Saccharomyces cerevisiae S288C: one gene and its partner. The gene in region 2 interacts genetically with the main gene of each other region. Each region holds a gene or a part of one and is shown on either strand. Other genes may lie near its edges.

Region 1 (3,726 bases), 390 kb from region 2:
GTCGCGTAGTAGAATTTTCATCAGATAAATTATTGACAATTGCATTTTTGAACAATTTTTTAGTTCTTGTTGACTTTTTCTTATTCTCCGATTTATTTGTAATGTCAAGTAAAGGCGACGATTTTTTAGGGCTATTGTTGCTAGTTAGTTTTTTTTCGTTTTTGTTGTTGCTGTTGTTGTTGGAAGTGGTCATTAGATGAGCGGTATCCTCGTGTATTTCATCTTCCGTTTTTTTCCCTTTTGGAGTTCCATAATCCTTTGAGACGACGACTTCTCTCAATTGCGGTTCGTCGGGTATTGAATCTTGGGATAAACTTTTCCTTTTATGTGAAGTTTCCCGATTTCTCTTGGAAACCTGTAGATCATGTATATCAATCACAGTAGTAGCATCCACAAGTTTTTCTGAAGGCCTCCTCATTTTGGCTCTTAAAGAAGGCAAAGTGTAATCTACAGCTTTACCACGAGTTCTTCTAGTTCTCGTAAATGATATTTCGCTGTTGCTGCTCATGTTACTTACGGGCATGACTTCGTCAATAACCTTTTTCTTCAGTTCTATCCTAGGCGGCTTCATGGAATGCTTAATTTTGGTCTTTGGATGAGAATTAGTAGAAGAACTTGATGAAGGATAGACCGTTGAAGCATCGCTAGTGGTAGTAGGTAAAGTTGCGGATGGGCCTGGTAAAGGCAACGGCAAAGGATTTGACGGCACTGTACTTAGCATATTTGTACTGTCATTGAATATTTCTAGTTTAGAAGATGAATGCTCGGGTTCTGTCGGATTCTCCTCTGGTATGGAGTATTCTATAATTGAATTGGTAAAATTACTGACAGAATCGCTATTTTCCTCTTCAGGGTTTAAGGCATCTATTGTTTCCTCCACTTGCGCAGACTCGTGTGATTCTGCCGGTACCTCTACAGAGGAATTTTCCATCATGGGTTCGTTTTCACCGGTTTCGTCTTCAGGTTCTAAACTCGTGGATACAAACATAGATTGCCGCCTAGAACTCTTCCTTTTTTTAGCCTTAGGCTCAAGATCTGGACCATCGTCCTTGTTAAAACTTGATTCATGCGACAGGTTATTCTCGTGATTTGATAACCTAGTGTAACTTTTTGAGTATGTGGGTGATGACAATGAGCATGATCTTGACCTGGAACTCGTTCTCTTCAACATTGTTCTTAAGCTCGAACTGGGCAAATTTTCGTTTTTACGTACGTTCTCAAACATATAAAAAATTTCGTCAAATCTTTGAATAATACCGTTTTCAATGACTTGTAGTTGATTACTTAACCGTTCCCTGTAGATAGCTTCGCTTATAGAGGTTTTAGATCGTAGAGTCACGTTTTCTTGTACCAGCTGGCTTATTTTTTTTTCCAAGCTATTAACTTTAATTTTTAATATGGAGTTATCCTTGGCCAGCAGGGAGTTTTGCCTCGAATACGACTGTCTGATGTTTTCCACTTTTTGCGATTCGAGATCCATTAGGTTTTGAAATTCTTGTATTTGTGGGGTTAAATCATCGTGGGAGACCGTACGCCTGCTGCTTTCCTTGTTAGGAGCAATTTTTCTCTTCGGCATGGTCAAACAATAACCCCTCTATACCCAATTAAACATATATATGCGTGTGTAAGTAATATAACCCTGCGCCTAGCAGTAGTTGTAATGTGGAAATGGCATTATCAATATTAGTAGACGCTCACTTTGTGAAATTTCTTTGTTTACAAAACAAAAGGGCCTTGAAAAAAATAAAAAAAATCTGTTACCCGACCAATAGGAAATAAATAATCAAAAATAAAAGGGGCGAGCTGGGAATTGAACCCAGGGCCTCTCGCATGCTTTGTCTTCCTGTTAGTCAGGAAGTCGCCCAAAGCGAGAATCATACCACTAGACCACACGCCCTTGTTAACTTGTTGTTAAGACTACTTAGTCTTGAGTATCACACTGCATTCAGTAACATATATTCTTTTAATCTTCTGGCTGAGAACTCCAAGAATAATCGCTAAAAATACTCAAGGGTAAGTACCCCAAACAAAGTTCTGTCCTTCTTAGATATTTTAAATGAGGGAAACTAAATCATTAGTTTATTATTTAGATGCATTTTTCCCAGCTTTAACCTTTTTATTTAAAGGAAATTATAAAAAAAATTTTAAAAAAATGAGTTTTGCGTATCCAATAAATAATAGACAAGATGCTGTCACAACAGTATTAAAATTTCTGAAAGATTCTGCTGTCTCTGGACTGTGTAATACAACAATTCTTCGGAAAACTTGATTCGGAATAAACAATGGTCTTTCATTTATGGAAAATTTTCTTCTTTGTCTCGGTCACTAAAAAAAGCCTTAGCAAAGCTATATAGAAAGAAAATAGTGATATGGTGTATTTGCCGTAAAACTATGGTTTATCCAAGGTCGCCTTCAGTAAACTTTCGGAAATATATTCATCGGAGATATATTATATAATGAGTACATAGCAATCTAATCATGCTGGGTCTTCTTGCACCCCAATGAAACCATAATCATGTAAATGCTTGAAAATTCCGGGCATACTATCCTCTTCCTCAATAACCCAATCGAAGTAGAGTGCTAGTTGTGCACTATGTCCTTGCTGCTCATTAAATAAATTTACTGACAGTTTGGTGGAATTTCTTTGTTCGATCAGATAGTACTGTTAGGTATTTGTTGACATTTACTTCCCTATCACATCAGACCACTGTTTCTCCTTCCTTTTTGCCATCTTCTTACCTATTATATGATAATATAGTTCAAAAGGAAATACCAGTCAATGAATGATAATTGGCTCTTACTCCAACCGTTCTTAATCTGGACCAGTAATTGTTCTTATGGTGAAAAAGTATGGTGACGTCTTTACTTTTAAAAATATTTTTAACAGTTGAAGGAGCTCCCCGTGTACATCTTGCCAGATCTTCAAGAGAAATGTCACCAAATAAATTATGAAATTAAAGTACAGCGGTAGTGATAAAAACGATCATCAAGTAGTGCCATCCGATATTTCGTGTCAATTTCCAAGCTCATGATTTATGACATACAGGATTTTCAAGAATATTAAATCTTGTTCCTGAGGAATTTTTGATAAATCCAATAAATAGTAAATAATAAGAAAAAAGACAGAACAACAACGTTTTGGTGGGAGAAAGGCCACTTCTCTGACCAGACTAGAGTACTAATATTTACGACAAATATACTGAGACCGTGACCAATGGTAGAAGGTGATTGGCTTGAAAGAAATGCCAACATTAAAGCACATATCACTGCTCTTGATATCAGTAGAGTTGCAAAAAAATTATACTACTAAAATCAGCTCAACGGCAAGAAGTTACTAAGCACAGCAGAAATTCTGGAGCTAAAGAGAATAATATACATACAAGACTGACTGAAAACTCTGTTTTCCACATGCAGTGGACTCAAAATATTCAGTTGAAGAAGCAAGCACAAAATTGGATCAACCCGTCGCGTCGCGGCCGCTGCTGCAGGCGACAAATCCACTGGCAAATTGTACGCGGCCTCGTTACTCCTACTTGAAAACAGAAGTAACAACAACAAATTCAAGTTTCTACGAAATGGGTCTCATGACGACAAGGTGCGCCCCCCTATCTACCTTGTTGTAAGTCTGGGACCTGGGGCTAATTTCTCATCCCCGGAAACAAAAGTATACAACTACGTGGCTAAAAATTTTTTAGTATGCAGCACATAGGATGCCAAGGAGCAATT
Region 2 (5,086 bases):
GGGGTGGAGGTGGGTACAAGGAGCTAACCTCATTACCAGGATCATTGGACATTTTTAGTTTGTGAATTTTTTTTTTACTAGCTTAAATTTGGGATATGAAACCTCTTTTATGTCATATTTGCACGTCTAATGACCTGCCTGCTGAAAATGCAAGATTCGTTGTTTAAGTTCTAACTAACATTTCGTATTTCGTGATAATAGTTTCTTTTAAAGGTGTGAAGAGGGAGATCATGAAACCCACAATAGACGTATGGGCTTCAATATGTGCAATGTTGGTTGCTACTAAATGTCTTTCTCCAGTGGCAGAGAACTTTAAAGAGAAATAGTTCAACATGAGCAACGAAGTTGACAGGATGGATGTTGATGAAGATGAATCGCAAAATATTGCGCAAAGCTCAAACCAAAGTGCGCCAGTGGAAACCAAAAAGAAGAGATTTGAAATTAAGAAATGGACCGCAGTGGCGTTTTGGTCATGGGATATAGCTGTTGACAACTGTGCTATTTGCAGGAACCATATAATGGAACCATGCATTGAATGCCAGCCAAAGGCCATGACGGACACTGATAATGAATGTGTAGCAGCCTGGGGTGTCTGTAATCACGCTTTCCATTTGCACTGTATTAATAAATGGATCAAGACAAGAGACGCATGCCCATTAGATAACCAACCTTGGCAGTTAGCAAGATGCGGTAGGTGAAAAAATGAATTGCCCGTAAACATTTAAATCATACCGAGGTAGAAGGATTATGGCATGTTCCTTTTTTTTTAGAGTATGTCAACTGGCGCAGTAGATACATGTTTTTCTCTTCCACGTCGAATTTTGTTATATACATAGCATAATCGAGTTGTATGCACCCTTTTTGTTTATCTCGTTAGTAACTCGGGGTAGGAATAAGACATCCACAAAGGTGACAGAACAAAATCATCCTAGCCTTGTTCATAATCTACCTCTATATAGCCGCTAAAAAATTAGTAGTATTTTGACTCTTTAAGAGCACATTTATTATCAGGCTGCTTTTACATACTTCTTTTGTTTAAAACATTTAAAGACGATCACTGCCCTTCCAAAGGACAAATATATATACACAAACACTAGGCCAAAAGTTCACTTATAATAATTTAGTGGTAATTATGTTGGGTAAAGAAATTGCCAATAGTCTTTTTTTTCCGTATTGTAAGGTGAGACTGAGGTAGCGGCACAAAAAAACGACACATAATAGGATACTGAGTAAAGCAGTATTAAAATAAAAAAATATATTTTACCTCGAACGCTACAAATAAAGCAGAAAAGAACAAAATCGTGAGCATGATGGTTTTTTCGAGCACCTTTATTTTTCTAATTTTGGAGTTAGTTGTACTGTGTGAAGCTTCAGTCCACACCATTCAAATTAAGGACAAGCATTTCGTTGACACAGTGACTGGAAAACCATTCTTCATCAAAGGTGTGGATTATCAGCCAGGAGGCTCTTCCGACGTTAGTGAAAAGCAGGATCCGTTATCCAATCCAGATGCATGCGCTCGTGATATTTTATTATTTCAAGAATTGGGAATAAACACAGTAAGAATTTATTCTATAAACCCGGACCTGAACCATGATGCGTGCATGACTATGCTCGCAATGGCAGGTATCTATCTTATATTGGATGTCAATTCCCCATTGCAAAACCAGCACTTAAACAGATATGAACCTTGGACTACCTATAATGAAGTTTATTTAGAACACGTTTTCAAGGTTGTCGAACAATTTTCTCATTACAATAATACTTTAGGATTTTTTGCTGGGAATGAAATTGTAAACGACAAAAGATCAGCACAATATTCTCCTGCCTATGTCAAGGAGTTGATTGGAACTATGAAGAATTACATAAGCGCACACTCGCCCAGAACAATTCCGGTAGGTTACTCTGCTGCAGATGACCTGAACTATAGGGTATCACTGTCCGAATATTTGGAGTGTAAAGATGATGATAAGCCAGAGAATAGCGTTGATTTTTACGGAGTTAACTCCTACCAATGGTGTGGCCAACAAACTATGCAAACTTCAGGGTACGATACATTGGTGGATGCTTACAGGAGCTATTCCAAGCCAGTTTTTTTTTCAGAATTTGGATGCAATAAAGTATTGCCAAGGCAATTCCAGGAAATAGGTTATTTGTTTTCTGAGGAGATGTATTCAGTATTCTGTGGAGGTCTGGTTTACGAATTTTCACAGGAGGATAATAATTATGGGTTAGTTGAATATCAAGAAGATGATTCAGTACAGCTCTTAGCAGATTTTGAGAAGCTTAAATCGCACTACCAAAACATTGAGTTTCCTTCTATGAAGACTTTAAAGGAAACTGTTCAGATGGAGGAGACGCCATCATGTGCGGAAGATTATGAAAATTTGAAGATTGAATCTAAAATTGCTAAAAATTTAGGAAGTTCTTTGATAAAAAAAGGCGTGAAAGTTGAAAAAGGCAAATACATAGATATTCACGAGGATCAGCTGTCCACCAATGTCACGATTTTAGACAAGCATGGTGACAGATGGAATGGGCCCAAAAAGATTGAAATTAGGCAAAGCCTGACATTGGCAGACCTGGAAGGAGAAGAACAAGAAGACGCAGATGAAGACAAAGATGATTTAAAACGAAAACACCGGAATTCTGCCTCTATTTCCGGCCCATTGTTACCTCTTGGGTTGTGTTTGCTTTTTTTTACTTTTAGTTTATTTTTTTAGACTTTAATGTCGTTCTCCCTTTTTAAAGAGTAAATACATATTTAAAAAAGTGACTATGGCTATTGCTAAACGTGATAAAAATCAGAGCCTATAACACTCTCTGAAATAACGCTATGCAGGAATTTCCAGTTAAGTTCTTCTTGGGGTGACTTCTTTACTCGGTATGATATGTGTTTTATATGCACAGTACGAGTCCATTAGGGTAAATTAGTGGCCGAGAAACTTTTGCCGCCGAGCTTTTAAGTATCCTTTTGCCACTTCTTATTTAGATAAAGACCTGGCAGTAGTAGTCGTAGAAGATAAGATAGACAGAGAATGAATACTAATAAGATAGCACAAGACGAAGTCCAAGATAAGGTTTTGCAAAGAGCAGAACTAGCACATTCTGTATGGAACTTAAGGTTCAACCTCAGTAAAGTTGCCAAACGGATTCGCATGGAAACAAAGGTATTTCCAGAGATAAAGATAAATGACGCGCAATCACAGTTAGAGCGATCTAGGTGTAGAATATTTAGCCCTGACCTGGAGGAAGAACATGTGCCCTTGATTCAAGGCTTTAAATGTTTGGATTCACCCCCTCCCGTTCCACCAAGCTCATCGCAGGGGGAGGATGAAGAGAACACGGTAGATTCGCAATACTAGGAAATTAGAACCGAATCAAAATAGTTCCGATCCTAACTTTTCTACTAATCTTTGAGATTTTATCTCATTAACTCTTTGACCAAGCTATGAAATGCGTAAGATGAACTTTTGTTTGAGAGTGTTAAGTATTTAGGCGTCTACGCTATGATAGCCTCACTCTAGGACGACTGCTTTTTTGGAACAACTTGTTGTTCTCCGATGGTATATTGTGTGTTTATGTATTGTTCTACGTACTCCTCCGTCTCTTTTTCGAGGGCAACGCTTTGAACTAGTATTTTCCGTTATAGTATGTCCCCCCTATATGCAACCCCTTGAATGGACGAATCTCTAAAATATACAACCTTTTCCTCTATAGGAAACAAGTAGGGTCTTCTACGCTAAGGATTACATAACGCATGTATCAAAAACTGATTTTAATTGATTAATTTCAAAATGTCAGCGTAGGTTCACCTAGACTTGTTTTATAGCTCCATTCAACTGGCGGTAGACACAACTAAAGCCAAAAATTGCCTAAAAATTTCAGTACTCTGGCAGCATCTACTCATTTAATTGCCGTAATACATGGGACTCAATGATCCTTAATATGCTAAATGCTACCCCTCCTTTTTTCTTTTTTATTCCTCATAAAATTGCAAATATCGCAAGCACGTTTTTACTCAGCCCGTCCGCTTTGAGATACAAAAACGATATCTGAAATTAAAATTTTCTCTGGAACATGGTCCATCGAACTAATTATGCATAATAACGTACGTTCCTATCCTATGAACACTTTTCTTTTTCTGGATAAACTGACTTAACAGTAGAAAACGTAGTGTGCAAGGCCATCCTTCAATATAGACTCAAAATTAGAAAGAGTGCCCTGATTAGTTGAGTTTTTCCTTCTATAAGCAAGAAAAATATCATCCTGACAAGAGACAGGTATTATATAAAATATTTCTACATGGAAGTATACTGTTAGTTGAACATAAATTCAACAAAAGGATACCATTACTTCTTCTCAAAGATCATCGAATATTGCTAGAAAGCGTAAAAGCATTTTACCATGTCATCATCCTCAAGTTCATCAGAGTCATCGCCTAATTTATCGCGGTCAAACTCACTGGCTAACACGATGGTTTCCATGAAAACAGAAGACCATACGGGATTGTACGACCATAGGCAGCACCCTGACTCACTGCCGGTCCGTCACCAACCTCCAACATTGAAGAACAAGGAAATTGCTAAGTCCACTAAACCTTCTATTCCTAAGGAGCAGAAGAGTGCAACGAGATACAACAGCCATGTGGATGTGGGAAGCGTACCCAGTAGGGGCCGCATGGATTTTGAAGATGAAGGGCAGGGTATGGATGAAACGGTTGCTCATCATCAATTGAGGGCATCTGCCATTTTAACTTCTAACGCGAGGCCTTCCAGACTAGCCCACTCCATGCCACATCAAAGGCAGCTTTATGTGGAAAGTAATATACACACACCACCAAAGGATGTAGGTGTAAAGAGAGACTATACTATGTCATCTTCTACTGCATCATCAGGTAACAAATCCAAGCTGAGCGCATCTTCCTCGGCAAGTCCTATTACGAAGGTTAGAAAATCTTCGCTGGTCAGTCCTGTTCTTGAGATCCCACACGAATCGAAATCTGATACACACTCCAAGCTGGCTAAACCCAAGAAGAGGACATATTCTACCACATCTGCGCATTCATCTATCAATCCCGCAGTTT

What was found. A genetic interaction does not mean that the proteins touch.
Region 1: mutations in YOL131W (region 2) and YOR072W-B together harm fitness more than expected from each alone (negative genetic interaction), as found in Saccharomyces cerevisiae (one large-scale study listed by BioGRID).

What each region holds. Positions count from the first base shown.
Region 1 is NC_001147.6:462,621-466,346, reverse strand, and holds YOR072W-B (uncharacterized protein), read right to left. Parts: upstream 1,879-3,726; coding exon 1,717-1,878; downstream 1-1,716. Other genes in the region: SGO1 (Sgo1p), read right to left, coding at 1-1,576.
Region 2 is NC_001147.6:69,993-75,078, forward strand, and holds YOL131W (uncharacterized protein), read left to right. Parts: upstream 1-3,038; coding exon 3,039-3,365; downstream 3,366-5,086. Other genes in the region: mediator complex subunit MED7, read right to left, coding at 1-52; SCF ubiquitin ligase complex subunit HRT1, read left to right, coding at 333-698; GAS4 (1,3-beta-glucanosyltransferase), read left to right, coding at 1,308-2,723; Mg(2+) transporter ALR1, read left to right, coding at 4,408-5,086.